7 linked regions of the Rattus norvegicus genome follow. The main gene of each other region encodes a partner of the protein of the gene in region 7 in a complex. Links are inferred from orthologs where the notes say so. Each region holds a gene or a part of one and is shown on either strand. Other genes may lie near its edges. The genes, in order: Tada2a, Taf4, Wdr5, Tada2b, Supt7l, Kat14 and Kat2a.

Region 1 (4,044 bases), about 17 Mb from region 7:
TTTATATTTAAGTATTTTAATAGGTTACAAAGAACTAAAACGGCTACTAAATAATTACCATATTCAGAAAAGGGAAAAGGACAGAGATACATGGAGAAAGAAACTTAGTTCTCAGTCTAAATACTTGAAAAAGGAATGAAAATTTCCATCAATGTCATCATTACCATTATTTCGTAAGTATGATCACTCTGATGTTTCTTGTACTCAAATCCTCTAGTGAAACACTGTGGAAAAAAAAAAGTTAAATTACTAAAAGCTACTTTAAAAAAGTATTTTCTTGGGGCTGGGGATGAGGCTCAGTGGGTAGAGCACTTGCTAAGCACACACAGCACCAGAGTCAACCTCAGCACTTGGGAGGTAGAGCTAGAAGAATTAAGAGTTCAACGTCATCCTCACTCAGCTACACAGCCAGTTCTAGGGGTGCTAGGCTACAAGAGACAATGTCTTCAAAAATCAAAATAAGGGGGCTCAGCAGTTAACAGCACTTGACTGCTTTCATAGGCCCTGAGTTCAATTCCAGCAACTACATGGTGGCTCACAACCATCTGTAATGGGATCTGATGCTACACTGAATTAATACACGTAAAATAAATAAAAAATCTTAAAAATAAAAATAAAAGCCAGGCGTGATAGCACATGCCTTTAATCCCAGCACTTGGGGAGGCAGAGGCAAGATCTATGCAAGTTTGAGGCCAGAGAGGTCTACATACACAGTGAGTTCCAGAACAGCTAGGGCTGTGTAGAAACCCTGTCTTAAAACACTAAAAGTAGCTCTTTCTCTTCTGGTCCCAGATGCTGCGGGGCCGTGCAGACATGGCCAAGTCCAAGAACCACTCCACACACACGCACGCACGCACGCACGGTCACTCGCACAGAGTGTCCCACAAATAGCATGGAAATGGCATCAAGAATCCCTGGTCACAAAGATACAAATTTCTTAAGGGGGTTGATCCCAAGTTTCTGGGGAACATGAGCTTTGCCAAGAAGCACAACAAGAAAGGCCTGAAGAAGATGCAGGCCAACAATGCCAAGGCAGTGAAAGTGTGTGCAGAGGCCATCAATGCCCTTGTGAAGCCTCAGGCCATAAGCCCAAGATGCCAAAGGGCCTCAGTTGCAAACTCAGCCGTCTGGCTTTCAGCGCTCACCCCAAGCTTGGGAAGTGGATTTGAAGCTACATGGCCAAGGGTCGTAGGCTCTGCCAATCAAAGCCCAAGGTCCAAACCAAGGCAGAGGCCACAGCTCCAGATAAGGGCCAGGCTTCGGCTCCAGCTCAGACTGCCAAAGGTGCCCAGGCCCCTGTGAAGGCCCCATAGAAAAGCCTCCTGCCAATGTGAAGACAGATGGACCACTGTGACACACCTGCCTGCACACTATCTGTAGGTGACCAGTGTCCTATGCTGTTTTTACAAATGAACTTGAGGCAAGAAAAAAACAAACACCAAAAGTAAATAAATAAACTAAAATAAAAAACAAGACAAAAGATGGTTTGAAGAGGCTCTTTTTTTATTTTTATATATTTTTATCTTATTTGAGGCAAGAACTCATGTACTTCAAGTAGTCTAGTCTGGCCTTGAAGTCCTCCTCTTCCTGTCTCTACTTTCCAAGGCCTGAAATTACAGGCCTCTACTGACACTATCAACCTGATGGAATACTGTCGTCTTAAAGCCATTGTTTTGGGTTTTTTTCTCTTGGTTCTGGTATACTGAAAAGAATTTTGCTATGCAGTCCAGGCTGGTTTCACCTTCCCTCCTCCTATCCATTCTCTCCCCATGCCCAGTATATAATCTTTTTTAAAAAAATTTTTATTTTTGGTTTTTCAAGACAGGGTATCTCTGTGTGGCCTTGGCTGTCCTGGCACTCTGTAGAGCAGGCTGGCCTCGAACTCGGAGATCTGCCAGTCTCTGTCTCTACCTGAGTGCTAGGATTCTAATATATATTCTTATAACTCAAAGAGAATCACTTTTTTACATTTTAACATGTCTAAAACGGAATGGTGTGTGTGTGCGTATGTTTGTAGGTGCACACACCTATGCACGCCCTTACGAAGGCCACTATTGGGGATATTCATTTATCACTCTCTGCTTTGTTTTTTGAGACAGGGTCTCTCACTGAACCTAGAGATTGTGGTTCAGCTCCTCCTAGCTTCTCCACGCCCTCCCCAGCACAGGGCTACAGGCAAATGCTACCATGCTCAGGTTTTACAGACATTGGGAATTCAAACTCAGGTCTCAGCTTGCACAGCACTTTACCCACTGAGCCATCTCTGCCATGTCTGGAATGTGTCTTAGAATCAAGTGTCTTAGAGTGGGTAAGTCCTGATAATCCCAATGAGCAAATTATTTAGACTGTGGCTGAATTTCATCTGTAAAATGGAGATATTTACTTACTCACTTCCCAGCGCTGTAGTGATGATTTAGGGGTGATAAAAGTAGGGTACTCTAAGCAGTACCTGGCACACCTAACCAGTATTACTCCTAATATAGCCCACAAAACACTCTGTTGCCTTGTCATCTATACCAAGACCACTCTAATAAGTTAAGCAGTGAGGTCAAAAGGAACACCCTGCCAGCTAGGAATCCTGTAATCAAAGTCTTTCAGTTTACTCCGGAAAGTGGTAAGCACTGAGCTGTGCAGCTCTGTGGAAGTCATGTCTGTCTCACCATCCGTTCCTGACCTCCCCGGTAAAGTCTACAGGGAAGACTACCTGTAGGAAGAGAGTTCATGCAGGGTGGTCCTAAGCTACTGAGTTACTATATCCACAAAACAGACCAGGAGAGACACTCTCCTCAGGGAGTTACCTGCAAGCACAGGAAGAAAGGAGGAGGCCCACATTCAGCACATTTAATGTAAGGTTCCATGAGGTAGGAGGAGCAGCCTCTGCAAGGTGGCTTATCAGATGGATCATCTGGAACATACAGAAAACAAACATCAGCTTAGAACTCTACAAATGGCTGAAGACTGACTATGTTACAGACGTAAGGAAGCAAAATGAGTTTATTGCACACATACAAACAAGAGCCACCCTGTCCATTACACGGCGGCGTGTTCCTTCCTCCAGAGAACCTACTGCTTCAAACACTAAGCAGAGAAGGCCCCTGCAGAGAAACTCATAAACACAAGTTTTAAAGTTTTACAGAGCCCACCTGATCACAAGGAAAAGTAAACCAGGCACATTCCCCACACAGTGCACACATACAAAGCAAACCAGACAAAAGGTCAACAGTTGTTCTACCCAGGCAGCAGCACACAGGCGCAGTCACTGCTCTGGTCTTTCATGTTCTCTGCAAGTTTGAATTTTTTTCTTAACAAGTTGGAGGAATTCCAGTTTAGGATTTAAGCTTTGTGTCTAGGTTTGAGATACCAAGGAAACGGCAAACTGCTGCATGCAGGCTCTTGTTCTGAACTAGGAAGGCAATCGGCACATATAAATTCTCCAAAGCCCTAAGTCGGAAGATACCTTTGTTCCAGGTTGCCCTAAATCCTGCCTCTCTGAAGTGAGAGCAACCTATTGTTCTCTGGCTTGCCCCTGGGATGTGGGACAAAGGCCTAGGGAGGGAGATGAGGGGACTTACTTTGTTCAGCTATCACATTCTATAACAGCATTTTCCTTCTTTGCTCTAACAGCCACTTGCTTTACAATGAAGTCATGGAGAAAACTGACAGGGTAAAGAATGTCCTGCCTGGGGGTTGGGGATTTAGCTCAGTGGTAGAGCGCTTGCCTAGCAAGCACAAGGTCCTGGGTTCGGTCCCCAGCTCCTAAAAATAGAAAAGAAAAAAAAAAAAAAAAAAAAAAGAATGTCCTGCCTGAAGCTTATTCCTTTTGCTGTTTTTAAGACAGGACCTTACGTAACCCAGGCTAGTCACCATCTACGACCTTCAACTCCTCATCTATCTACTTCTACCTCCAAAGTGAAGGGATTACTTCTCTTCTACCACTTCTGATTAAAAAAAAAATAAAATATTAAGTGCTAGATGTCAGTTTTTTAAAAATTACGTCTATTTGTATGTCTGTGACACATGCATTTGAGTGCAGGTGCCAATGGA
Region 2 (4,000 bases), on a different chromosome or scaffold from region 7:
GAAGCAGCCACACATCCCCTCACCTGGGGTTAAACCAGAACACAGTCTTTTTTTCTGTGTTTTTGAAAGAAACCAAAATTACCAAATTGTCACTATAAATTATACTGTGAATGTCTGATATGTATCCCCTGTTGGGGTCTCGACCTACAGACTTTTGGGCAGATCTTCTCAAATCTGGCGTAAGGATCTTATGATGTCATCAACATGGCAGAATCAGTGTCAACTGAGACACAGGCCTTTGGGAATGCCTGTGGGTGTTTATCTTGATTTCACCAAGACCCTAAAGTGGGTAGCATCATTCCATGGCTGGGATTCTGGATTAAGAGGAGAACAGCAGCTAAGCAGTGTTAACTCCCTGCTTCCTGACTCTGGATGGAAAAGCAGCTGCCTCAAGCTCCAGCCATCTTGACTCACCCGCCCTGACAGACTCTGAGCCAGCATAAACCCTGTCTCCTTCAGTCACTTCCCTTAGTCTCTACAGCAACAGGAGAACACTATCGTACGTAGCCTTCACCACATGCACCCGACACGTGCTCTGTTTTGGTGCTACTGTTAACAACATGCTCCAAGTTTTCTAACCATTTGTTTTCTCGTCCCTGGAGTGTAGGATTACAACTTGGCTGCAGGCCTGAGTGTGGCACGGAGCTCACACCCCGCCTCGGCAGCCAGGCTTACAGGGGTGTCTATCACACACCCCTATACCCATCCCCACGGTGTACAGGATAAGGCCTAGAATGGGAAGAGCACAGCATCTCTGGTGTCCTCTGGGTGAACAGGACAAAGGACTGGCCAGTCCAGAAGGGGGCCTGTGCTCGTTTAAGTCCATGATTCAGAAAGACCAGAGAGAGACTCGGAAATGGGAAAAATAGGCATGACAAATACAGATAAATTTGTTTTTAATAAAGGAGTTAATTTTCTTTCAATCCTATATAAAACAATAGCAATTAAAAACTTCATTTCTGAAAGTAAAATATTTACATATTAACAAGTAACTGTGCAAAATTTACATGAAAAAATGGAAAGACGGGGATTTCCTAAAAGATAAAATGAAAGGTGTAACAGTTCTTGGGTGTCATAAAAAATACTGATCAGCGTTCAGTTCACACGTGCGAATTGAAGTCTAACATGAGAATCCACACGGAGAAAGCCAAGTATTTACAGTCATAAAAGTACTATCATAGACAATTTAATACAATAACCTCTGAAAATATAAAGAACCAATTAGTATATTTGTAATAAAAAAATAGGTACAAAGAAGGGGCTTTGCTCTGGACGCCTGTAAGGTTGGCCACAGCTTGCATACAGTCTCTTAGCAAAATAATTATAGTTTACATAGCCATCTTATGTTATGTGCCAAAAATTATGTACAATTACTGACAAAATACACCAACCATTTCCAACACTTGATCCACACTGAGAAACAGTCTGCTGTTGATTCTTCTCAACTCTGATTTTATTTCATCTAAGTCTTCACTCTGAGCTAAAAACACAGTGCAAGTAAAATATATTTATGCTGAAAAGGTTCTCATTTCCTTCCACTTTACAGCTTCCAAACTGCAGCAAATAAAACATATTTGTACAGGTGCTGCACCCCGGCCTCCATTAGCAGAAATGGGACCCTGCTTGGAGGTTATGATCCTGGGGAGTTTCATATAGAAGGGAGGTAAGGGACAGGGCGGGGAGGGGTGATAAATAGTCTAAAAAATCAGTTTGCTTCGCCAACTGACTGCTACAACGTAAAATAAGAGATGAGGTCATCGGCTGTAGACGGACACCTAGCGGGTGAGTCAGGGTGAGCGGAACCAAAACGCACACAGGATGAGCAACTGCTAATTATTTGCTAAGCGCTTCCATCAGTCTTTAAATATGGCTTGTTTGGCAAGAAGGCCACTCAGCCGAGGATGAGCTCGGGTCAGCTGTCCTGTGAGAGCATCCACAGGCCTTTGTGTTCTCTCTGCTGCAGACACGGTTTCTGCCGCACTGAAGAGCTGATTTATAAACAGGAGTATAAAACTGCTCCATTGTAAAGAGGTGGCTGTTTTTAAACAATATCCCATTTGCTTGTTACAAAAAGGCGTAATCTGCAAATATATAAAAACGTCCGCAAGCGTCCCATCAGAAACGCCGGCTCATCCTGTTACTTAAGGAATGCTTTGTAGAGCAACAGTGAATGGCTTGTCTCACGCTCATTTTCTAAACAAAATATGAGGTCCCTGAGGTTGACCCGCGTGATTCTTTGCCGTGTGAACTGTCTGGGGGTTCCCACGCCGGAGCCGCCTGGGACTGCTGCGCCTGGGCCTGAGCCCTAGTGAGGAGAAGGGAGAAGACACGTGCATTAGTGACGGTGGAACAGTCAGGAGGCGGAGGAAGATTCAAGTATCCCAAGAATTTGAAGGAAACAGGCATGGACAAGCCCCTTCCTTCCACTGTCCTGTTACTTAAGTCCCCACTCTACAGCACACTCAGGATACCCACCCGCTCCAGTGTCCTCACAGACTTGGTCCTGAGTGGGAGAGAAGACAAAGCCAAGGCTCTGAAGTGCCCCCACTCCCCACACACACAGCACAGTACTGCCCAAGAGGCTCAGACGAGGGGAGACCAAAGAGCACACTTGGACTGTGCCATTCCCTCCTTGGCTGCCAGAGGCACTAGGCCTGAACTCATGGACAGGGTGGGCTGCTGATCAGCTGGGGAGGCCGACTGCCGGTGATCACGGCCAAGGGAAGGGAGTTCTCTGCTCCCCTAGCTGGCTGATCTCACCACTGCCTCCATCTGACCCCTGCTGGGCTCAAACCACAAGCTCCCCATGGACTCAGTAGAGAACCAGGTATGTGTCCTGCTGGTTAAACTGCTCATGTGTATTCAAGTAACCATGCTGCAGTGGCATCCTCACTATGCCTCCACAGTCAAAGCTGAGGAAACTCAAGTACCACCTGCTACTCGTGAGGCCACAGGGGCCCAGGAGTCAGTAGACGGCAATCATAGGAAGCTGGCAGGCAGGTCAGGTACAAGTGTGCCTGCATGACCTGGCCACAGTTTCTTCATGCATATGACAGTCCAACTGAAGAGAGGGTACTTTTCCTCAGATGCGGGGAGACACCACTGTCCATCTGTGGCCCTGGCCTCCACCATCACCTTAGTAGCCATGTCGTTTCGGGTGGACAATTTCCTTGGATGTTGTTGGCAGCAACAGCTCTAAGTAGTGTTTCACCCCTGAGATTAGTGGTGCCTCTTAAAGGGCCACAGTGAAAATGTGCAGTTGGTAGGAATGAGGGAAGCCGTTGGTCTCCCAAAAGCCACCTTGGGCTGTGCTTGGGCCGGCATACCCATGAGCCTCCTTCTAGAGGGTCTTGGTGATCTGGAAAGGAGCAACAAACCAGTTTCTGGGAAGAAAGTCTATAGAGGAGGGTCTCCAACAGAAGCAGCAAGAGGGGGCTGCTGAGACCGGCAGAGTCTGCAGGTCTTGGAGCCCTGTAGCAGGTTGAGGTTGGTCTAAACTGCCTCTCCATTTTCAGCAGTGACTTCACTCTTCTTGCACTTGCTAATAAACCTGATCTAAATCACCTGACTACAGGCCCAAGAGAGAAATCCAGGTGACAATGACATGGTGCCCTGGCCCACTGAGACTCTGCCTGGGCAGCAGGGTGGTGTGTGGCCAGTGTCCAGGCTGTAGTTCATGCCTCTACTTTTAGGTTCAACAGCCAACAACAGGGCTGGGAGGAGCAGGGAACACTCATCTCAGGCACAATATTGAACAAGTTCTAAAAGTTAGAAACTGAGACAAACAGGATCAACCTGGGACCTACACTTTCTGACAAGCATTAATGAGGCCCATAGCTTCATGTAAGCACACCAGCCTGGGCTTCCAACCCGGTAGGACAGCTGTCACTGCTCAAACCTGAGGACAGCAGTCAGGTGAAAACAGGACACAGATTCTCGATTGTGTTCTGTGGGCCTTATAAGCAATAGGAGGTGACTCAGTTGTAAAATCAAAAGTGCA
Region 3 (4,670 bases), on a different chromosome or scaffold from region 7:
CCCACGTTATATTTGATGTTCCTAGACTGGAAGATAAGGCTGCACAGGCCATGGCCACCTCCAAGAGAGTCTGAGACCATGTGAGTTAGTGCAGCAGACCTGGCTCCAGGTTCTCCTTATGTGTCTGTGTCTTCCTCTCTGGGTGTTTCCCCCATTAGTGACAGGAGTAGAGGTGGTCCACAGGAGCGAGGGCTGTGAATACTTTGCTAACTGCAGGCCAGAAAACCTGCCAGGGGCTATCTTGTGAAAATGAGATAGAGCCTTTAAAATGGAGCTTCAGAGCCATATGGAAGCTCAATTGTAGTGGATGCTGCGGCTGCCTGGAATGTGAGCGATGGACACCTACACTAAAGAACAAACTGCCTGGTTCCAGATGCATGCATAGGCTGGGGAGGACTCGGAGCCCCTGTGTTAGTGACACTTGCCTTTCCTGTCCACAGTTTTGTTTGTCTTCTAAGTCAGGTAGCTCCTCTCTTGTTAGCATGCAAGCTCCCTTCTTTCCTGCCTTCCCTGGACACGCAGGGGAGCTTTTCCTGCGGCGATAGTTCCTAAGATCTTTTTCTGAGTGTGGGGGTGCACAGCAGAGTCTCTTTGTGGCCCAGCTTAGAAGAGAGGCAAGTATGTTCAATTTGAGCTGTGGTTTGCAGTGGCAGGAAGCCCCCGCCCTGCGGTAGGCAGGGGAGACCGCAGGCGCTCCGGACTTCCGGACCTCGTGGACGTCCACCAGTGGCACCAAGAGGGTTTCCTAGAGTCCAGGGCAGGCACAGGCCACGACAGGCAAGCTGCTATTAGCTTGGCGACATAGCCTGGAATTTAACAGGAAAGGCACATAAGCACATTTTTACCCATCTTTAACTGCAGAGAGTTCCGGTCTGCAGGCACTGAAAATTAGTGGCGGTCAAATAGGAAGCAAGAATCATAGGTGGGCCCTTTAAGGCGCTCCGTCTCCTCTAATTTTTCTGACCCTCGTCGCCGCCCGTTGCCCCGCCCCCTCGCGCACGCGCAATCCCTCCCGCCTCCCGCGCCGCGGCCGACTGGTCCACCAGATCGTCTGCTCTCGCGCGCAGGGCCAGCCGAGGCGACGCCAGAGCGCCCGGCCCCGCCGCCCCGGCCCCGGCAGGTAAGGGAGTGACCCGGTCCTGCGGGCGCGAGGGGGGCGGCGACCACGAGGGCCCACGGGCTTCGGGATCCACAGCGCCGCACGTGTTCCGTGGGCCTCCGGCCGGGCCCGGCGCCGCATTTGTGGCCGCGCCCCGACCCCGCCGCCCCTTGTGGCCGCCACGGCTCGCTACTTCCACTGCGGCCCCTGCTGCGCCCCTAGACCCGTAGCCCTGCGAGCTCCTCGTGGCTCACACCTCAGGCTGGCGTCCCTGGGAGTGGGGACACCCAGCTAGCATCTCTCAGGTTTCCTTGGCCACTTGGCGCTTTCGTGCTGCCACCACAACCTTCACCCGTGTCCTAGTGCAAGTTTCTACCTGACGAGGGCTGACTGGTCAAGTGGGTTTTGAGCACTGTCTGGGTCAGCCAGGCAGTTGAGAGTACAGTGGTGTGAAGCCAATGGTACTAGGACCTAGGGGTATCCAGTAGTCCAGAGAGGATGGGTTGGAGCTCTTTGTTGGGTTACCTACTGCACTCACCTGAGTGACTGGACCATTCTGTCTTCCCATACTTGTGTACTCAGTGTCTAAGGCGGAAACAAGGAATCTGCATTTGATTGGAGGGAGACTGATGGCTGCTGCCCTTCCATGATCACGTTCCCTGTAGTGTAAAGCTGCGGTTGCCAGTTAACTGCCTCCTTTGTGGGCCGTGGAGGCCAGCTCCAAACCACCTGCTGAGGATCCTGCTTAACACACCTCCCTCCCAGAGCTGTCCTCTTCAAGTCCTGCTTTCCGGTGACCTTAAAACAGAACACCTGAGTGCTCTCTGTCTTGGACTCTACCCAGTGGAATTGGAAATTGGTTTCCTTTGAGACGGTTTCAGGTTGGTGCTGGCTTCACATTTAACTATGAATTCCCGAACCTCCTGAATGCTGCGAGGTAGATTGGCTAATGCTAATGTTCTTTCTTTTCTTTTTCCTTTTTTTTTTTTTTTTTTTTTTTTTTTTGGTTGGTTGTTTGGGGCTGTGAACTTATTAGAGCTGGGATCAAAGTGTGGTGCACACCCAGTGTCTTCATATGTTAATATTTGGCTTCCTGAAAGAATCAGTTTATAAAGGGTGGGATGGGATGGGCAGGGTTGGGTATCCTCGTGCTTGTTTTGCAAGGCCATTCACCCGAGGCTAGGTGAATCTCTTTATATGCTAAAAGACACTGCTTAGTTCCTCGAGACTTCCTACCCCAGAGATCTGCCCTGCTCCCTTGGCCTTTTATTTCCCTGAAGCAGGGAGATGTGGTAGGACTTTCTATCTCATTACTTAACATCTTCTCAGCTCCTCTTGCTACCTGTATGATCCACAAACATGTTGGCTCTGGGAACTCATGGCCATATAGTTGCGTTAAGCAGCTTCAGGTCAGGCCTGGGAGTTGATTTATGCCTGTTACACCAACCATACTGCGGCTATTGAGGCAGGATTTTGAATACTGGTGCATAGCAAGACCCTGTCTCCAAAAAGCTAAAAACACCAAGCAGCTGGTATTTCCTGGGCACAAGAGCTTTGCTTTGTGGAGGGACCCAGGCAGGGGACCTACCCCTAGTTGGATCCTTGCACCTGGGCTTGAGCTACAGCAGAATTTGACCTTGGTGGAGCAGGCTACACCTGTGCCCTGTGTGGTGGGTGTTACTGTTCCTTCCTAGGATTGAAGACTGAGGCTTTGGTCTCTTTTGGTGTTGTCTCCTCTTAGTCTCCCGTGGGGTCTGTGTGAGGTGTCAGGTTTAGTCTCAAAGCTAGGCTGTGCATCGTGATTTCTCCTTACACTGATGGCTGAGGGATCATGATGGCCAGTGATGTTTGCATGTCTTAGGAGCGCTCCATTGGAGGAGCACTAACTCACTTCCCAGTCACGGGATGGCCTGTAAACTGTAGGAAGTTGTTGCAGTTGCACTGCTGAAGGGAGTAACTGCTTTCCCTCAGCTCTGCAGCTTCTTCTGGTGCAGTTTCTCTGATGTTCTTCCTGCTACTCCTCCTGGGAGGTTTCATATGGGGGCGGTGTCTACTTTGCTGTACTCTTTCTTGTAGCTCTTTTTATAGTACTCTGTGCAAGAGTCCTTGAGCTCTGTACGCTCTTAGCATTGTAGAAGGCAGTTTGCAGCCTGTGAGGTCAAAGGGAGCCGAGGTGGAGGCCACCAGGTACAGACAAGACTCCTGTGTTTCCTCAAATTCTTTGGGTGTATTTTAGAATTTGCCTGAGTTTCCAAACTTCTGCACAGAAGGTCTACTCTTGTCACTTGGTCTGTTGTTTCTGTTAGAAAGCCTTTTAAAAACTGTATCAAAAGGCCCTGGGTTCGGTCCCCAGCTCCGAAAGAATAGAAAAAAAAAAAAAACTGTATCAAGGAATCTTTGAAGCAGAGCTCACATTCCGGTACACATCTGTATACTGCAGTGGGAAGCCTTCTTGAAGCTTAAGTCTTAGGCTCACAGAAGGTTCAAGAGTAGACCATCCATCACACAGAGCACCTGAAGCTGCAGCCTCGGTACAGTTATCCCCAGCTTGGAGCAGTTTATTTGTTGTAGGGTTCAGTGCTGCGGTCATGTTCTCCTTTTTACCCATTTTCTTGGGAATATTTTTATTTTTATTTTGTTTGAGTACAGTGTAGCTGTCTTCAGACACACAGAAGAGGGCATCAGATCTCATTATAGATGTGGTTGCTGGGACTTGTACTCAGGACCTTTGGAAGAGCAGTCAGTGCTCTTAACTACTGAGCCATCCCTCCAGCCCTAGAGTCACTGTTTTTTTGTGGGGGGGTGAGGTGGTCTTATGCATGTTAGGTGAACACTCTTCTATGAACAGCTCAGTCCCAAGAACCTTTTTGTTGTTTTGAGACAGGATTTCTTCTGTGTAGCCCTGACTGTCCTGGAGTTCACGCTTTTTTTTTTTTTTTTTTTAATATTCCTTCCTCTCTTATCTTTTTATAAAACACAGCACAGAGTATGCCTTTTTTGTGCGTGTGTTTTATAAAAATAAGGAGAGAAGGAATATGTTTGGTGGAGGAGAGATATGGTGTGAGGGAATGGTGTGGGGGGAGGGGGTGCCTCTGCAGGCTCATGCGGAGACATTCCTTCCCCTGAGGGACCAGCCACACAACAGTCAACAGTATATTGTAGAGTTTATTCAGGGCATGGGAGGGGAGTTGAGAGGGTAGCAGAGACCGAGAAAGGCAGAGATAGAGTTGAGGGATGCCAGCCATGAGCACATGGAGAGAGAAGGGTGAGGGGAATGGGGAGAGAGGAGTAAGGAGGGAGAGCAAGAGAGTGGAGTTCACTCTTTAGACTAGGCTAGCTTCAAACTTGTAGATACACCTTCCTCTGCCTCCCGAGTACTGGAATTAAAGGTGTGTACCACCACACCAGGGCAAATTTTATTTTACTTTGGTTTTCCCCTCTTTATGTAAATCTGTGTACCTTGTGCATGCTGTCTACAGAGGCCAGAAGAGGGTGTCAGATTCTCTGAGCTGGACTCACAGATAGTTGTAAGCCCACAAGTGGGAATCAAACTTGGTCTTCTGGAACAGCA
Region 4 (4,738 bases), on a different chromosome or scaffold from region 7:
AACCACATTACTTAATGCTCTTAGTGCTGTAGTGGAGGTCCAAATTATAATCACACCTAGTTATCAGGGGCAAAGCTATGGAATTCTTGGCAAGTAGCTTTTATTCTCAAAGTTGCCGTCTTTCAACTGCAAACTAAGACCATAAATTCACCCCCACGGTGCTGCTTGTGCAAGTCACACGACATGTACATAAAGGGTACAACGTAGACTGGCATAGGTTCTATACAGGTCCAAAGTGAGACATGCTTCAGTGTAACAGGATATAAGCTCGGAAAAGAGTCACAAATCCAAGATGTAGTGCTTTTGATGGAGAAAAACAAGGCTCAGAGGAGTAAAGCAACTGGCCTAAGAGAGCACAGATAGAGGGGGTCACAGTGCCTCCTATTCCTGAGGCTCAGTGGCTGCATTCTCAGCCTGACCCTGAGACTCCTGCTGCTTCAGCAGGTAGCAGTCCATGTGCTACACACAGGCAGCCAAGCCCCAAGGCTCTTCCCCTTGGGCTTTACTCCTTCCAAAGCTAAGACTGGGCCTTATGAGAACTTGCATCTTAACTTAAGCTCCTCTGGCCTTCAAGCCTGAAAGTACTGCTTCAGAAGAGGCCTTCCCCATCTAGCCTGTTTATTCATCCACGTTTTACATGCTTTAGTTCCTGAGTGCTGTGTGCTTCTGACTGTACTACATGAATGGGGCACAAACATGAGCCCAGGTACAGACTCTACAGACCAAGATTTCTTTCCTTTTTAACAAAATAAGATAGAACAAAAACCATAACATTGAAGTTGGACAAAGCAAACCAACAGAAGCAAAAGAGAAGGCACAAGAATCAGAGACCCACCATTCACACTTGGAAGTCCCATAAAAAATACTAAACTGAAAAGTAAAATACATACACGATAGCCTGGTGCAGACCCATGCCAGCCCTGTGCTTGCTGCTTCAGCTCTGTTCATTTGAGTTCATCTGAGCTGTGCTCAGTTCATTTAGAGGGCCTTGCTCTCCTGGTGTCCTCCCCTCCTCCCCTCTGGTATCTTCCCTCCTCCCCTCCTCCCCTCCTCCCCTCTGGCTCTTATGTTCTTTTCACCTCCTCTTCTGCAGGGGTCCCTGACTACAGCCCATATTTCAAGAGATAAAGTAAGCTCAGGGCTGGAATTAACACTCTGGAAATAAGTGCTGCGGAGGAAAGAAAGGCCCTCCAAAGCAGTGACATGCAAGGACAAAGATCAGTCAGTAAGTAGTCTTGAGGTGAGAGCACCTCAGGCAGAAGAAAGGAAAAATGATCAAGGCAGTAAGCGTGAGCTCACAGAGAACCATAGACACTGTCAGGCCTTGCAGGCATTGTTTGTAGTGTAATTTAAGAAGCAGCAGTACTGCAAGTTGCTGAGGGCCAAAGAGATACTGCTTATGCTTTTAAAGCCCTATGGTTGTATGTGAGAAGGGCTATGAAACAGAAGGAAGAGGCAGGTAAACCATGAGCAGTAATCACAGGAGGTAATCCGCATCTGGTTCTGGCCGGAATTAGCAGCTACCTTCTGCACATCTTTTTAAACAGATGACCACTGACCAACTAGATGTGGATGAAGGCTTTAGGTTGGCTCTGTGTGTAACTGAGTCTTCACAGGCAATCAGGCGGAGAGGGATCATCAGGTATGTGACAAGCTCCAGGAACAGAGCAAATGAATGCCACACTTTCTGCTCTGAGGCTCTTCTTCAAGGTCCTTCATGCTGCCTGATCTGTACAAAGCAAATGCTCAATACACACCAATAAACACCACTTACAGACAAAGTAACCCATTGTTTTTGGAGAGCAGGAGCCATGGTGTTTGCCACTGGGACGACATCTGTGGAGTAGAATCCTTCCTAAGTGGGGAAGTGGGTCCAGAGGGCCACTCATATGATGATCAGGAACAGGAGGGCAGTCGGCTGGAGCAGGGGAAGCTTGGAGAAGCTAGAGTCAGAGGGTCTTAACATACCAGGGAAGATTCTGGACAGGACAGGGTCGTGCTTAGCTCCCTGCTTCTCTGAAAGCCTAAAGAGGCTACATATTCCTGGAGGCAATGGTGACAATGCAGCCAGATCTCTTCCCTAACACAGGTGAGGAATAGAATGGAGAACTCCTTAGATACCCCTAGAGAACACCCAGGAGCCCAGCACACTATCTGGCTGGCACACACGAAGGCTCTTGTCACCAGCAAGCCACCTCTACAGAAACCTGACAGCTAGAAAGCAGACCCCAGGGTCCATGCCTCCTCAGGAAGACGCCTTTGTTCATTCTTTACTGCCCACCCATCACACCGTGTCCTGGGTTCTGTGGAGACTAAGAATTAAGCAAGACACTTCTACTCATAGAGAACCTTAGCACAGGGCACATGCTGACACCTACAGAAAGCACACGAAGCCCCGAATGCAGACTAGTGCAGGCGGTATGGGCAGCCCAGGCTTCTGGCCTTCCCCACCACTATGCTCAGGAGAACGCAACCGTATCAGGGGAACTCAGCAAGCACCGTGGGATCTAGCTCAATGCCATCGGACACAAGGATAAGCCTGGCAAGGCACAGGGCCTACCCTCCACCCGCGTTCAAAGCACACCTCTTGAGGACGAGTGTGAAGGGCAGACAGCTCCGGGTCGGGGCCATGGGTCAAGGCCCTGCTCTACCAGCTGTGTGGCCGCTGGTGACCAACACATTCTGGGCAGAACCGCCTGACCACCTGCGGCCCTCCGCAGCGTGCACCGAGTCAGCCAGCCATGCCCTCCCCCTAGCCATAGTCCGCCGCTCACCCAGTTGCCGAAGCCGAACTGCTCGATGGCGTCCAGTAGCAGCTGCTCCTCGCGGCTGGTCCAGCCGCCCTCTGCCTCAGGACCCCAGAGTGTGAATCGCCCGCCGTCTACCAGCTGGTAGCCGTGGTAGCGGCGGTGGTGGCCGATCTCCGCGCCGGCCGAGAAGCACTCCGGGCACAGCTCGATGTCCTGGCACTCTGTGCAGCGGAAGCGCAGCGGGCTCACCTCGGCCAAGCAGTACACGCAGTACTTCTTACCCAGCTCCGCCATCTTCCCCCGCTCGCCCGCCGCCCGGCCCGCAGCCGCCGCGCCCCCGGCCGTCAGCGCCCCGCCGCCTGCCGGGCTCGCTGCGCCCGCCGCGCCCGCGCCGCTGCCGGCCGCTGCCACGGCCGCCCCCGCCCAGGCGCCGCCGGAGCCGGCCAGGCGGGCCGCGTCCCGCCTCAGCACGCAGGCGCCCTCCGGCCCGGCCCGGCCGCCGCCGCCGCCGCCGCCGTCTCCCCGCCGCATCGCGCAGGCGCCCCGCGCGCGCCCCCTCGCGGACAGCAGAGCTTTTGCTCTGCGCCTGCGCGCGGGCGCCTCCCGCTGCCTCATGGACTGGAGAAGCCGCAAGGCCCCCCCCTAAGCCTGTCAGCCGGCGGGGCGCGGACCGGAAGTCGGCCACGTGAGCCACGCCTCTCGCAAGCCAGCGTCCAATTAGCGCCTCCCTTCACCTGTTCGCAGATCTTCATTGGCCTAATATTACCGGGAGGTGGAGAGAAAGGAAAAGCAAATGACCAATCGCGGGGCCCACCGCGCGCCCTGGTTGCCCCGGGAAACCTAACAGCAGGCATCAGCGGGGCTCAGACCCGGGCCAGCGGGTCGAATATGGACAGCCAAAACGGGGACACCGAGGGCGAAGGCCGAGCCGAGGAAGGCCTGATCAGGCAGCCGCCCGAGATTAAGGTTAGCTCCGAACCTCTGACTCCGGCGGACCCTACGGAGCCGGAGCCGGAGCCGGAGCCGGAGCCGGAGCCGGAGCCGGAGCCGGAGCCGGAGTCGGGGCAGGAGCCGGAGCCGGAGCCGGAGCCGGAGCCGGAGCCGGAGCCGGAGCCGGAGCCGGAGCCGGAGCCGGAGCCGGAGCCGGAGCCGGAGGCTGAGCCTGAGCCTGAGCCCGAGCCCGAGCCCGAGCCCGAGCCCGAGCCCGAGCCCGAGCCCGAGACCCAGCCGGTGGCGGACAGCTTAAAAGCAGAGGCTTCAGACGAGCATGAATACACGCCTGTTGAGGCCCCGGAAAGTCCCAGGGACTCTGAGGTCGCGGGCGAGGCAGTAGAGGCTGCGAGCGAGGCGGTATCCCAAGAGCCAGAGAGTCTGCCACAGACCAAGCCCAAGACCGAGGCGGAGCCCAAAGAGCCGGAGGACAAAGACGAGGACGAGGATGAGGATGAGAGCGACGAGGACGAGGATGAGGACGAGGACGAGGACGAGGAACTCGACAAGTCGGAGAAGAAGAAGGGGAAGAGGGAGAAGACGAAGGAGTCACGGTTCCGGCCCTCTCTACCTCTGACCACGATTGTTGAGGAGGCGGCTGCCCCAGCCCCACGAGCTGCGAAAGAGAAAGCAAAGGGGCCACAGAAGAGAGACAGTGAAGAGATCGAGGTGATAGGTGGAGAACCGCGCAAGAAAAGCACAGAAGAGCATCTTCAACCTGGAGAGGAGAAGGAAGAAGGGGAAGAGAAAGTAGAGAAAGTAGAGAAAGAGGCGGACGCTGATGAGTTTGAGTGGTCGGCGGATGTGCGGAAGCTGCAAGAGCAGCAGCTGCGGGGCGAGCTGGTAGAGCAGTATCACTCCCTGCTGGTGGAGCGTAACCGTTATCAGCGCTACAACGTTTACCTACAGCAGAAGATTCATGAGACCCTACGCAAGAAGGGTCTGGAAGCAGCAGCGGAACCTGTGGACAAGGGCGCTGAACCAGAATCTCCTGAGAA
Region 5 (4,665 bases), on a different chromosome or scaffold from region 7:
TATGTTCCCAAGTTCGGACATATACATGAGCAAATACACATTCTTTAGGGCGTGGAGGCCTCAGCCTCAGGCAACAGTCTGTCTTCCTTTTCAGACAGGATCTCTAGGGATCAGCCCCTTCCCATCTTCCCTTGAGTCTGTCAATAAAACACACCCAGTTTGTTCTTTATAACTTGCCTTCTCAGCATAGTTGCTGGGAGTTGCCGTCTCCCACCTGGAAAAGCATACCCTTATTAAAATGTTTATCTCTGTCTCTACACCTGCCCCGAACTTCAGTGGCTAGTCCCACCTAGCCCCTGCCAAACATCCATGACCACCCGCCTGGAGCAGTGGCCACAGGCCCCAGCTCTCCCGAGACCTCACACAGTTGCTCCCTTCTTCCTCCTCCAAAGTATGGCAGTAAAACCTTTCCCCTTCCTTGCCTCTCCCTTTTCCTCCTGGGACCCGGAAGTTCCACCTGTACCTTCCTTCCGCCCAGCAATTGGCCCCCAGCTTCCTGTACTGACAAATCAAGAACCAATTGGAGAACAAGACCTTAGCATCAGAACCGCCCCCTTCACAGTAAATTCCGGGGATCTGCCCGTTTCTGCTCCTCTCCTTACAAGCTAAGTTTATAAGCACATGCACCTATGCCTGGGTTTTTTAATATGGGTTTTGGGGATTGAACTCAGATCCTCACGCTTGCAATGGCAAGCATTTCATAGACTGAGCTGTCTCCCAGAAGTCTGGGAGACTTCTGCTGCCTTCTAACAAGTATTTCTTCCTCTAGTCCAGTGGTTCTCAACCCCTTTGGGGAGCACCACTTTCATAAGGAATATCAGATATCCTGTATATCAGATATTTACATTAGGATTCAGAACTGTAGCAAAATTAAAGTTATAAAGTAGCAATGAAAATAATTTTATGGGCTGGAGAGATGCTCAGTGGCTAAGAGCACTGACTGCTGTTCTTCTAGAGGTCCTGAGTTCAAATCCCAGCAACCACATGGTGGCTCACAACCATCTGCAATGAGATCTGATGCCCTCTTCTGGTGTGTCTGAAGACAGCTACATTGTACTTATATAGTTAAAGGGTCACAGTTTTAGAAAGGTTGAGAACTGCTGCTCCAGTCTTTCTCAGAATCTGATCTACACTTGGCTCTGTTGCTAGACTTTTTCCTTTTCTCTCTCTCCCTGCCTCCCCGCCCCCTTCTCAGTACTGAAGACTGAACACATGCTATGAAAGTGATTTATTACTGAGCTACACTTTCAAGCTTTTTTTCTTTTTTGTTTTCTTTTGCTTGCAAAAAGTCAAATTCTGTGGCTTACCATTCAATGAAACCTATTACCTGTCTTTAATTTACTTCTCCAGATGAAGTGTGAAGTGTGAAGGTGTAAGATCTTTGTCCTGAGAGAAGAGTAACAGAAGCAAACCATTGCAGTATAACAACAAGCAGACACTGCTATTTTAAAGGCATGAGCTCAGTGCTCTGCAGGTAAATGAGGGGCTTCCTGGATGAAACGACCTCAGTTCTAACAATATACTACTCAGTTTCTTCTCTCTCTCTCTCTCTCTCTCTCTCTCTCTCTCTCTCTCTCTCCCTCTCTCTCTCTCTCTCCCATTTACTTATTTTCGGTGTCTGTGCATGTGAAAAGCAGAAGAAACCTTGTGAGAGTCAGTTCTCTCCTTTCACCATGTGGGTTCCACGGATTGAACTCGGGTTGTCAGACTTGGTAGCAGGTGCCTTTACCTCCTGAGCCATCTAACTGGCCCCTCAGTTTATTTTCTTTGCTAAGAATGTATTTTATTTTTAATCAATCAATCAATCAATCAATCAATTAATTTCAAGACAGGGTTTCTCTGTGTAGCCTCGGCTGTCCTGGAACTTGCTCTGTAGACCAGGCTGGCCATGAATTCACAGAGATTTTATTTTTATTGTTGTCTGTTGGGGGTTGGGTATGTAGGTATGCTCCATGTGTATGTAGGTGCCAAGGAGATCTGAAGAGGGCATCAGATCCCGCTGGAGCTGGAATTAGAGGTGGTTGTGAACTGTCCTGAAGTGGGCACTAGAAATGGAACCCAGGTCCACTGGAAGAGCAGCAAGCACTGTTAACCACAGAACCATCTCTCCAGCCCCATTACTCAGCTTCTTGAGAACATCAGACATTTTTATAATTGAACCTTTGAGTTGGGATCTCTGCCAGAATCCTCTGCCGCCTTCTACATCTTTGTCAGACTTGAATTTGTTCTTTAAGACAACTGAAATGGCCATCCCCCAACATTTCCCCAACACACCCCCTTTCTTTGTATTCTCACATTCATTTGCTTTTATCCCTGGACCTTAACTTTAGTTTACTTATTCATCTGCATTCTCCCACTTGTTACAGCTACCATCTTCGTATAGTATCCGGGCCTCTGTCAAAGAGTTATAATATAAACTACTGCTTAGTTCAATTTTCCAACAATCTTATTAAAAATAACACTACTATTTGCAATTTTTCAGATGTGGAAGCTGTGGTGCAGTGTCGTGCCAACGTCGTAAATACAAAGAGTTAAAGAGAAAAGAGGTTTCGATGCACAGGTTCGTAAAGCCACTAAACATGCTGCTTCAACAGTTTGTTACGAATAATAAAAGAATGAACAAACAAGAAATTGCTTCTTTCCCAACTTCACAAAAGGAGTAAAGGAGTTATCAAGCCTAAATTCGGGAGCTGCAGAGTAGGAGCAAGATACCTTGCTCGGTATCTGCAGGCTTAGGCTTAGGCGCCAACCACAGGATCCTGGGAAGTCTGATTTACAGGGCAGCAGAAAAATGGGACGTTCTGACCCTGAACCAGAAAATAAAGCTCAAACACTCACCGCCCTGTCTCAGGAGTGGTCTACGCGGCTGCCTTGACTCTGACAGGTCCGAGTCGACGACTAGGTCAAGCCTAGGAGCCTTGTTTATTGATTAATGGGCCAAGGCCACCGGAAGCACTTCTTCCCAAGCGCCCTCTGCCACAGGAAGTTATTACTATCCGGTTGCAACGCCTAAAAATGTCCGTGTTCTGCACAGCACTCCTAGAGCTCCTCCCCCCTTTCTGGTATTGTCACTCCCTAGTGCTATTCACAACTTTAAAGTTCTGTGAGTTTTGAAAGGGGAACTCCAACGTTGCAATCCAGAGAAACGTCAGGGACCTGAGAAGGAGGAGGAGACGTGAGCAGGAACATGGGGGGCGAGGGGTAGGGGTTTCCGAGGGACACATTTTGAGATTGCACCCGTCTGAGGATGGCTGATGCTACCTCTCAGTTAGAAGCGCCAGCACCTCAGGATGTTAGTAGCGAGTTTAAGAAGCCTGTTTTGCCGGTGCCTCCCGCAGTGCGGAGTAAGGCTCCGGCCTCCAGTCCATCAGTTCCTGAAGATGTGAAGAAGGAATGTAGCACGGCGCAGCTAGACTCTGGATGTGGGGAGCCCGAGGTCTCGCCACCGCAGCCGGACAGCGAGGAGACTGGGGGTCCACCGGTGGAACAGCTCCGCTCTCCGAGGGTAGCTCCTGCTTCTGGCGGTCCGACCCGGGCTCCCCCGTACCAAGAGCCATCGTGGGGCAGCCCAGCCACGGCCCCTTACAGTCTCGAAACCCTGAAGGGTGGCACCATCCTTGGTACACGCACCTTGAAAGACACGAGCTACTGCCTTTTCGGGAGGCTTGCTAGCTGTGACATATGCCTGGAGCATCCTTCCGTGTCTCGGTACCATGCTGTACTACAGCACCGGGGGTCGGATCCCAGCGGAGACTCTGAGGATCAGGGGCAGGGCTTTTATCTCTATGATCTGGGAAGTACCCACGGCACTTTCCTCAACAAAACTCGCATCCCACCCCGCACTTACTGTAGAGTCCATGTCGGGCACGTTATTCGCTTTGGAGGCAGCACTCGGCTCTTTATCCTTCAGGTAGGTAGAAAAATCTAAAATAAAAATCGTGGGCTCTTGCTCTCTCTTGCTCTTCTTCTCGTGCCCTCTTTGTCCCTGTCCCTTCTCTCCCCATCTTCCCCTTTCCCCCCACGTGCCCATGGCCGGCCTTTCCTCTCTTCTTCTTCTCTTCTCTCATTAAACCTTTCCACATTGAAAAAAAAATCTTGGGACTTCACTGTGCTGGGATTCTGAGTTTCTTTAAGGTTTAGTTGAGAAAAAAAGATTCTTCTAGTAACCATTGACAAAAGCATAGGGGCCCAGTCCGGAGCCACAGATCTGCATAACTGCAGTGTCTCAGAAAGTAATTTCTCCACTTTTTTTTTTTCCGGAGCTGAGGACCAAACCCAGGGCCTTGCGCTTGCTAGGCAAACGCTCTACCACTGAGCTAAATCCCCAACCCTCCTTTTTTTTTTTTTTTAACATTTGTTTACTTATTTTATGTATATGAGTGTTTTCATGCACACCAGAAGAGGGCATTAGATCCCATTACAGATGGTTGTGAGCCACCATGGGGTTGCTGGGAATTGAACTCAGGACCTCTGCAAGAAAAGCCAGTGCTCTTAACCTCTGAGCCATCTCTCCAGCCCCAATTTCTCCACTTCTTAATCCACATACGTATATACTTTTTCCTTGATTCATTAGGGACCAGAGGAAGACCGAGAGGCAGAATCTGAATTAACAGTAACACAGTTGAAGGAACTTCGCAAACAGCAGCAGGCGTTATTGGAGAAGAA
Region 6 (4,675 bases), on a different chromosome or scaffold from region 7:
CATATGAGAGAGAACTGGGATTTCTTTTTTTCTGAGAATGCGTGACCTTGTTCAGTATTATACATTCTAAGTTTATCCATTTTCCAACAAATTTTTAAACTTTTTTTAAAGCTGAGAAGTATTCTATCATATATATAGATATGTAGATGTATATATATTTGTGGGTGTGTATGTGCACACACCAGATTTTCATCATTTATTCATCTGTTGGTGAACAGCTAGGTTGATTCTGGTTCTTTGTTAGGCCAGTCTTTAAAAACAGAGATAGGTGGGAAGCAGAGGTAGTCAGATCTCAGTGAGTTTGAGGCCAGCCTGGTCTACATAATGAGTTCTAGGACAGTCAAGATTACATAGAAAGATGCAGATGCTGACTCTGAAAAGAAAAATGAACTGGAGAGATGGCACTGGTTGCTTTTGTAGAGGAACTGGGTTTCAGTCCAGAGCTATCTGTAGCTGCAGTGCCATGGTATAGGTCACTCTCTTCTGGCCTCAACACTGTACCTGCATAACTTGTAGCCACAACACCCATGCAGATAAAATAAAATTTAAAAAAAAATAATAAAAATATTCTTTTTTTTTTCCTTTTTTCTTTTTTTTTCGGAGCTGGGGACCGAACCCAGGGCCTTGCACTTGATAGGCAAGCGCTCTACCACTGAGCTAAATCCCCAACCCAAAAATATTCTTATGAGGGATTGGGGATTAGCTCAGTGGTAGAGCGCTTGCCTAGCAAGCACAAGGCCCTGGGTTCGGTCCCCAGCTCCGAAAAAAAAAAATTCTTATGAAGTGTCTGTTTCAAATATGCCCCTCTGAGCTACAAAGTATAGAGTATTTGCAGTAGTGACGGAGCAGACCTTTTAAATTCACATTAGGCACCAGGTTCACATTCCGAGATTCTGCGTCTAGTGTTTTTCAAGGTAATGACCCCTGAGGAACTTATCATTTAATGGTAATAGTCCTTTTTCTTTCTTTCTAATCTAATTGATTGAGAATTTTATATTTCTGCCTTTACATGATAAAGTCCTGTATTTTCTCACACCCTTACTGTTCTTTTTCTTGGTATTTATTGTTTGTCTTAGGTAACTGCTTATAGTTTACAGTTTTTCTGTACTGATTCATCAGATTTTAAAAGTATCACTTTCCAATTAAATTTATAAAATTCAGCATAGTGCAGCCTTTTAAATTAATTTTTTAAAATCAATTCCCTTTAAATTTTCTGTGTTCAGGGATTTCTTAAAATGTGATGAGAAGCCACTTAAGTATTAACATAACACATTACCAGATTTACTTGGTGGTTTCTTTATTTACATTGTACAGAAGGTTAAAATAGTAATTGGGTATTTAGAATTGGAACATTTCGAGTGTATTTTGGTGGCACTGTTATTTAGATTTGAAGGCACAGGATGGGAGCCACCTGTTCAGGGGGTAACTAAAATCTGCTTCTTGTGTTTTTAGAGGCTTCGTGACGGAGTGATCAGAGACATTGAGAGGCAGAATCAGAAAAAAGAAAACATTCGTCTTTTGGGAGAACAGATTATTTTGACTAAGCAACTTGAAGCAGAAAGAGAGAAGATGTTGGAGAAAGGATCTCAAAATACCTGACTTTGAGAAGCCGATGGGGCAGCGCTGAGTTGGTGTGTGTAACTGTGGGTGCGGTGTGTGGTAGAGAATAGCTAGTGAGAGCTGCCCCCAAAATCACTATCCAGTTACACTTCATTAACTGAAGGACAGTGGTCCTGTCTTCTGAATTGCTTCTTTTAAGAGTCTGTCGTGTGTGGAGAGAGTACTTGGGGGCAAATGCTCTTCTGAAGGTCTGTCTGGGGGATCCCTGCAACAGTGCCTGTCAGCTTAGGAGTGCAGGGGCGATGGATAGTAGCATCCACCTGAGTGGGCTCCTAAGTCGGCATGATGATGAAGCCACGAGAACGTCTACCTCGGAAGGGCTGGAGGAAGGTGAGGTGGAGGGAGAGACTCTCCTAATTGTGGAATCAGAGGATCAGGCATCAGTGGACTTATCTCACGACCAGAGTGGGGATTCCCTCAACAGCGATGAAGGAGATATATCATGGATGGAGGAGCAGCTGTCTTACTTCTGTGACAAGTGCCAAAAGTGGATCCCAGCCAGTAAGGAGCTTCTCGATTCCTTTGCTTGGTTGATCCCTATGTGATGGCTTGTTTCCAGTCTGTGAAAAACACTAATAAAATAGACTTGAATAAAAATATAATTATTATATTTATTATTAGTAGTCTAGTTTACCAAATGTAAATTTATTCCAGACCACTTTTTTAGTTCTTTAAAACAGTCATTCATTTTATATGTATGTGTGTGTGCCCGAGTGTATGTCACCATGTGCATGCAGTGCCTGCAAATGTCAAAGAGACATCAGATCCTGAAACTGCAGTTACATATGGTCCTGAGCCACTGTGGCCACCAGGTATTGAGCCTGTATCCTCTGCAAGCAAATTAAGTTCTCTTACTTGCTGAGCCATCTCTCCAGGCCCATAAAACCACATTTGTATTAATAAGAACTGTCTACCATTATCCCATTGTTAACATTCTGGATGGTAGCCCCCCACCCCCCAAAAAAAATTAGGAATCCTGTATTAAGTCATTGGCCATATTTTTCTAAGAAGATTATGCTGTGGGTTGGGGGACACATTCTGGTGTCAGTATAGAATTCAGGTTCTGTGAGTTATTTGACATTCGTGGAGTACTGCTGTTGTCTCCTGAGGGAAGGTTGGGATCAGCAGTCCAGTGGTGTTTGGTTGCTGCCTTTAGCCCAGGTTTGTTTTCTACCGTGGAACTCGTTCATCCTGGCAGGAGTCACAGCGCACAGATCTCGAGGTTCCAGCTGCCAGCTCCGTACGTAGCATGCCTCGCCAGGCCCTCTCGACTCTTAAACAGTGTTCTCCATTAGGCAAGAGATGAGCAAAGGCATGTGCCCTGGAGGGTTGCTTTGTACAAGAGTTCATAGCTAGTGTAACTCTTAATGAAGTTGGTCATTTTCTGGTATGTTGAAACTTTTATTAAAAATGAATTAAATTGTTCAAATAGCTACTGTAAATAGGTTAATAATAGCAGTGGTTAGAGAACAGACCTAGAATTGACTGTTTAGCTGGTGTTTGTTTCTCAGCTGTCTAGTAAAAACTGGTTTTCCCATCGTCCTCACCGGACAGATTTTTTTTTTTTTTTTCGGAGCTTGGAACCGAACCCAGGGCCTTGTGCTTGCTAGGCAAGCGCTCTACCACTGAGCTAAATCCCCAACCCCAGATTTTTTTTTTTTTTTCTTTTTCTTTTTTTCGGAGCTGGGGACCGAACCCAGGGCCTTGTGCTTCCTAGGCAAGCGCTCTACCACTGAGCTAAATCCCCAACCCCCCAACCCCAGATTTTTAAGGGGACTTTTATGGTTGGGCCCTACTAAGGTTTTTAGGGAGATAGGGTGGACTTTTCATTCTTTACAACTCTTTGATTCCTAGGATTTTGTACCTTTTTGTTTTCTCCCTGGAATATGCACCTGGGTGGCTCCCTTGCACATCTGTCCCTCAGGCAGCCCTTTCTTCTAGCTAGTGGCTGTTCCCCCTGGGCCCAGTAGACCTCTATTCCTTCCTAAATGGGGTTGAGCATCCCTTTCTCTGTCCTTACTCTGCCCTGGGATGCAAGGTACATTCTGCTCTGGAGGTTTTCATGTTGCACAATGCATCAGCATCACCTGGGAGCTTCAATGCAGAGCCCAGCCCCCACCCCAGAGACTGGAGCATTCCATAAGGGGGTGGACCTGACCTTAGGAAGGACATAAAGCCCAGCCACCTGGGTGGTTCCGATGCTCCACGGAAATCTACAACCAGTACAGTCCTGTTTACCTGTGTTCTTTGTGTGGGTCCTATCTGCCTTAGACATTGCATATCCAGTTCGAGCCTGGTGTGGCTGGCGGCACCAGCTGAGTATTCCCTGAAAGAATGAAGATGACTGGCCTAGAGGAGTCAGGAATGTGACTGCTGGGAGATCCAGCTAGAGCAACCATACCTGCTTTTCCAGGACCTTCCCCCTAACAGCTAAGGAGCCTTAGGTCTGGGAGAGGCAGGCACCTGGCTGCAGAAGGGGAAACAACCTTTTTCTCTTTCTCTCCTCCACTACTCTCCTGATGGCTGCAGAAGAAGAAAGATCTACCACGGGAAACTCGGAGAGCTAGTCGGTTAACTGAGCTGTTGGATCTCCACGGCACGAGGCAAATCCGTGATGTGACTTTTTGTTTTTTCTCCTAGGTCAGCTGAGGGAACAGCTCAGTTACCTTAAGGGCGATAACTTTTTCAGGTTTACTTGTGCCGATTGCTCGGCAGACGGCAAGGAGCAGTCCGAGAGGCTGAAGCTGACATGGCAGCAAGTGAGTACAGAGCTCTTCTCTGGGCACGTCAGGCCGGGTGGCCATCCAGAGTGAGGCGCTTTAGAGCGGTTTGCGGGGAGGGCGCTTTACAGTTCACAGTGGACATGCGCACACAATGTGTGGACGGAAGACTTCGCGGTTTTAAAACAAGGCTGCTAATTTAGTGAGTTCTCGAGACTCTTAGTCAATTTCATTTATGTCCTACCAAGCTTACACTCAACTGAAAACTAGGCCCACCTCCGTCTGGCAGTCATTTCGAGCATAACAGAGGAGATGGCCACACTGGAAGTAGATTT
Region 7 (3,270 bases):
GGAAGGGTAGATCACTCACCCTATTAACCAGTACCACCACCTTGCCTCGGTCTACTGTCTCTAGATGCCTCTTGGCCACAAAGGCAGCTGCCCGGGTCTTCCCAGCACCCGTGGGAAGCCATATAATGATGTTCTTGCCCTCCAGAGCAGGTAAGATCACTTCCCACTGGTAGGGTCGCAGCTCCATTCTGGAATGGCAGAGGGTTCAGAACACGTACCCTCCCCTTCCTGCCGGACAGCCCAATCAGCTGCAGAGGCTGTTCTTAGCCAAGAACTCATAGATACCTACCTGGAACTTACCCTGGCCAGGATTAGGATGGGGTTTGGAAATGAATAGCAGACTAGCCTGGTCTCTGCTGAGGTTTCTGAAGCTCTGAAAAGCCCCAGGCTGACAGTTCAGTCAATGAAGAGAAATGAAACTGAAACAAGGGGAGGAGCCAGACGGAGCTGGAACCCAGCCCAGCCACCAAAAGAAATAAAAGTTAGACTGGAAAGGGAGATACTGGCAGAATAGGTAGGCCTTCACTGCTCCTGGGCTCTCTAGCTCCTCATGTTTTCAGGGGGCAGTAACCCCCACCCCCGGGCTGAGCTTAAGGCCTGGAGGTGCGGGCCTTGGCTGCCTGCTTCCTGGTCCAGGAGTCAGGGAAGAGACAGGCATTAAGGGCAAGCTCTTGCTCTCCCTTTGCAGGTGAGACAGGCTGGAAGCTACTGGAGCAGAAGAGGTGAGGGATGGCGGTCAGACAGGCCCATCACCCCACCATATATAGCAGGGGTCAGTGGCACCACTGTAGCTTGAAGTTAGGCTTCCAGGTAAGAAAGGGAAGGACTAGAGGAACGAGGGTCAATCTGTTAAGTCTGGAGCTGGACACCCCCCCCCCCCAAATAATCACACAGGGGGAAAAAAAAAAAGCTTTATTGTTCCCTCCAAGGGATTAATGCCAAGGAATGAATGGTCCTCCTGCCCCCAACCCCGGGGGACAGGTGGACAACAGTGTAGGACGAGCCGAGGCCCCTCATAGTTCCTCCAGTCTGAGCTGTTCCCACGTCGAGGCTCCTCACTGAATAGTCCTGGTCCCGGGAAACAGGCACCTGGACCAGGCTCAGGACGCTCAGCCTGCATAGCTCGGTAAGGACTAGCAGTTCATTCCCTGGCCACCAGACATTCTACAAGGGGCTGGCCCCAGACCAGACACCTCCCTAATGTCGGATGCAATGAAGGTGGGAAGAGAGCTGCAGGCTTGGGAGTAAGTGCCTGCTGGCCAAAGTCTGCAAGATTTGGGGCCCCTGGCTGGAGTTTCTCCCGCTGAGTCAGGGAGAGGGGGTCCGGGAGCACCCAAACGGATCTGATGAGACAGAGGTGGACAGTGCAGACCCCAGTTGGGCACTACTTGTCAATGAGCCCTCCTTCTTTGAGCTTGAAGTAGAAGAACTTCTCCAGGGCACTGGCGCAGCGACAATATTCGCTGTCTGGGGGATTGTACTCCCGGCAGTTGGCGATGACCCGCTGCAGGTCGGCTACAAAGAGCTTCCGGGTCACATAGTAGCGGCTGCGCAACCGTTCTGTCATGGTCTTCAGGTCTGGGTCACAAGGGAGAAGGCACATGACTTTAAGAGGTGAAAGGAGAAAACTGAGGATGCCCACCATGCTGGGTACCTGACTCCGCACAGACAGTAATAGATTGGGGCACGTGTTAGGGATGAGAGTACAAGGGTCCTCACCAATGGGGAAGCGGATAACCTCGTAGTAGTCAGGGGCCTCCGACTTCTTCACAGGTTCCATGAAGGGCCAGGCACTGGGGTGTGACTAGAGAGAACAGATGAGCTGAGGACAGGCCCAGTGTTCACTGCCCAACCGCAGACTGCCACCCACTTCTGTTACCGACAAGAGGACCTTGGCCTCCCACCTTGATCTGAGCCAGCAGGTTTTTGAGGGTCGTATACAGCTGGTCAGGGTCCTTCAGCTCCTTGCTAGAAATGAGAGATATCAAGTCTGAGGTCTGGGTTCTTCTGCCCCATCCTACCCCCCATTCCATGTTCATTCCCCTTGACTGAACACTTACCCCTTCTCCTTTCCCAGTGGCTTCCAGCCTGTCTCTCCTGCAAAGGGGGTGGGGGGGGTGGGGAAACATCTCTCAGAATGCCTGCCCATGCCCGGAGAATGCCCTCCTGCCCTTTCAGCCAAGGCCCCTGCTCACGAATGCCAGGGACGCTCTCCACAGGGATCTGCCTCACTCCTTCTTTGAAGCAGCTGAGTCCAGGGTAAACCTTTCGGATCTGTGCCTGTTTGCGCTCAATCAACTTCTTGATGATCTGAGGAAGCAAGGGTCTGAGGGAGCCAGCTCAGGCCCAACCACCCCCAAGACCATGGTCAGTAAATGGCAGCATTTACTTTTGGCTTTTTCTAAGAGGCAGGGCAGGAACTTACGACCTGGTGTGTCTCTACCACACATAAACACACACGTACGACAAGTCTCAGTGCGTTAGCTCCCCAGTGCAGACCCGCACAACCCTGCGCAGACATGTGTACCTCCTTCTGCTTCTTGATGATGTGGGACAGCTCTGTGTAGGGGATGCGGGGGTTCAGCTCACACTCCATCAGGGTCGCTCCCTCATAGTCCTTGATGTAGCCCAGATATCGGCTCTTGGGCACCTTGATGTCCTTGGAGAAGCCCTAGATGGGTGGAGAGTTAAGACCCAATCCATCAGCCAGGTTTCTCCAGCTTTCACAGTCTCTTCTCTGGTGTAGAGCATGCCTCCTCTTACATCTCTGAACTCCGTGTGCCTCTGCAAAGGCTCCAGGACGGCTGTTCCTCACCTCCTCCAATCCCCAAAGGACCTTCCAATCCCTGGCCTTGTTCTTCACTGGGAGCAAACAGGAAGGGGGGGCGGGGCTTCCTCACCGGTGCCGGGTGCAGTGGGCAACCAAAAGGAGCTCTACGGGGCACTGTGCACACAGACGGTGCCCGAGGTGGCGGTGCAGTGATTCCGAGGCTCACCTGCTTCTTGAAGTAGCCGATGGCGTACTCGTCGGCGTAGGTGAGGAAGTACAGGATGCTGTGTTTGATGTGGTACTCCTTCAGGTGATTCATCAGGTGGGTGCCATAGCCCTGTGGGGGAGACGGAGCAGGGAGGTCAGGTGGCCAGCAGAGGATCAGAGTTTGCGGAGAGAAAGTAAAGGGTTTCTAGATGCTCCTCTCTCAGGGCCAGATTCCAGGTTGATTCTTCAAAGACCCATTTGCCAGTTAGCCCATGACTAGGTCAAAAGCCCCA

The links.
Region 1: Kat2a (region 7) and Tada2a share a complex: the UniProt entries of both Homo sapiens proteins name them as parts of the ADA2A-containing complex. The link is inferred for Rattus norvegicus from reciprocal best matches to the Homo sapiens genes KAT2A and TADA2A.
Region 2: Kat2a (region 7) and Taf4 share a complex: the UniProt entries of both Homo sapiens proteins name them as parts of the TFTC-HAT complex. The link is inferred for Rattus norvegicus from reciprocal best matches to the Homo sapiens genes KAT2A and TAF4.
Region 3: Kat2a (region 7) and Wdr5 share a complex: the UniProt entries of both Homo sapiens proteins name them as parts of the ADA2A-containing complex. The link is inferred for Rattus norvegicus from reciprocal best matches to the Homo sapiens genes KAT2A and WDR5.
Region 4: Kat2a (region 7) and Tada2b share a complex: the UniProt entries of both Homo sapiens proteins name them as parts of the TFTC-HAT complex. The link is inferred for Rattus norvegicus from reciprocal best matches to the Homo sapiens genes KAT2A and TADA2B.
Region 5: Kat2a (region 7) and Supt7l share a complex: the UniProt entries of both Homo sapiens proteins name them as parts of the STAGA transcription coactivator-HAT complex. The link is inferred for Rattus norvegicus from reciprocal best matches to the Homo sapiens genes KAT2A and SUPT7L.
Region 6: Kat2a (region 7) and Kat14 share a complex: the UniProt entries of both Homo sapiens proteins name them as parts of the ADA2A-containing complex. The link is inferred for Rattus norvegicus from reciprocal best matches to the Homo sapiens genes KAT2A and KAT14.

The regions. Positions count from the first base shown.
Region 1 is NC_086028.1:69,501,406-69,505,449, forward strand, and holds part of Tada2a (transcriptional adapter 2-alpha), read right to left. Parts: intron 2,906-4,044; coding exon 2,799-2,905; intron 225-2,798; coding exon 165-224; intron 1-164. UniProt on the Homo sapiens protein: Component of the ATAC complex, a complex with histone acetyltransferase activity on histones H3 and H4. Required for the function of some acidic activation domains, which activate transcription from a distant site. Binds double-stranded DNA.
Region 2 is NC_086021.1:187,394,753-187,398,752, forward strand, and holds the end of Taf4 (transcription initiation factor TFIID subunit 4), read right to left. Parts: intron 2,306-4,000; coding exon 2,138-2,305; 3' UTR 880-2,137; downstream 1-879. UniProt on the Homo sapiens protein: The TFIID basal transcription factor complex plays a major role in the initiation of RNA polymerase II (Pol II)-dependent transcription.
Region 3 is NC_086021.1:31,234,047-31,238,716, forward strand, and holds the start of Wdr5 (WD repeat-containing protein 5), read left to right. Parts: upstream 1-1,699; 5' UTR 1,700-1,980; intron 1,981-4,670.
Region 4 is NC_086032.1:78,502,470-78,507,207, reverse strand, and holds the start of Tada2b (transcriptional adapter 2-beta), read right to left. Parts: upstream 3,054-4,738; 5' UTR 3,045-3,053; coding exon 2,775-3,044; intron 1,036-2,774; exon of another isoform or gene 1-1,035. Other genes in the region: Ccdc96 (coiled-coil domain-containing protein 96), read left to right, coding at 3,639-4,738. UniProt on the Homo sapiens protein: Coactivates PAX5-dependent transcription together with either SMARCA4 or GCN5L2.
Region 5 is NC_086024.1:30,652,176-30,656,840, reverse strand, and holds the start of Supt7l (STAGA complex 65 subunit gamma), read right to left. Parts: upstream 2,914-4,665; 5' UTR 2,839-2,913; intron 1-2,838. Other genes in the region: Slc4a1ap (kanadaptin), read left to right, coding at 3,248-3,910, 4,574-4,665.
Region 6 is NC_086021.1:152,192,957-152,197,631, forward strand, and holds the start of Kat14 (cysteine-rich protein 2-binding protein), read left to right. Parts: upstream 1-1,603; 5' UTR 1,604-1,862; coding exon 1,863-2,121; exon of another isoform or gene 2,122-2,217; intron 2,218-3,858; exon of another isoform or gene 3,859-4,260; coding exon 4,261-4,379; intron 4,380-4,675. Other genes in the region: protein PET117 homolog, mitochondrial, read left to right, coding at 1,453-1,599. UniProt on the Homo sapiens protein: Component of the ATAC complex, a complex with histone acetyltransferase activity on histones H3 and H4. May function as a scaffold for the ATAC complex to promote ATAC complex stability. Has also weak histone acetyltransferase activity toward histone H4.
Region 7 is NC_086028.1:86,131,657-86,134,926, forward strand, and holds the end of Kat2a (histone acetyltransferase KAT2A), read right to left. Parts: intron 3,108-3,270; coding exon 2,997-3,107; intron 2,672-2,996; coding exon 2,528-2,671; intron 2,311-2,527; coding exon 2,196-2,310; intron 2,098-2,195; coding exon 2,061-2,097; intron 1,969-2,060; coding exon 1,905-1,968; intron 1,805-1,904; coding exon 1,720-1,804; intron 1,579-1,719; coding exon 1,385-1,578; 3' UTR 879-1,384; downstream 1-878. Other genes in the region: ATP-dependent RNA helicase DHX58, read right to left, coding at 20-187. UniProt on the Homo sapiens protein: Protein lysine acyltransferase that can act as a acetyltransferase, glutaryltransferase, succinyltransferase or malonyltransferase, depending on the context.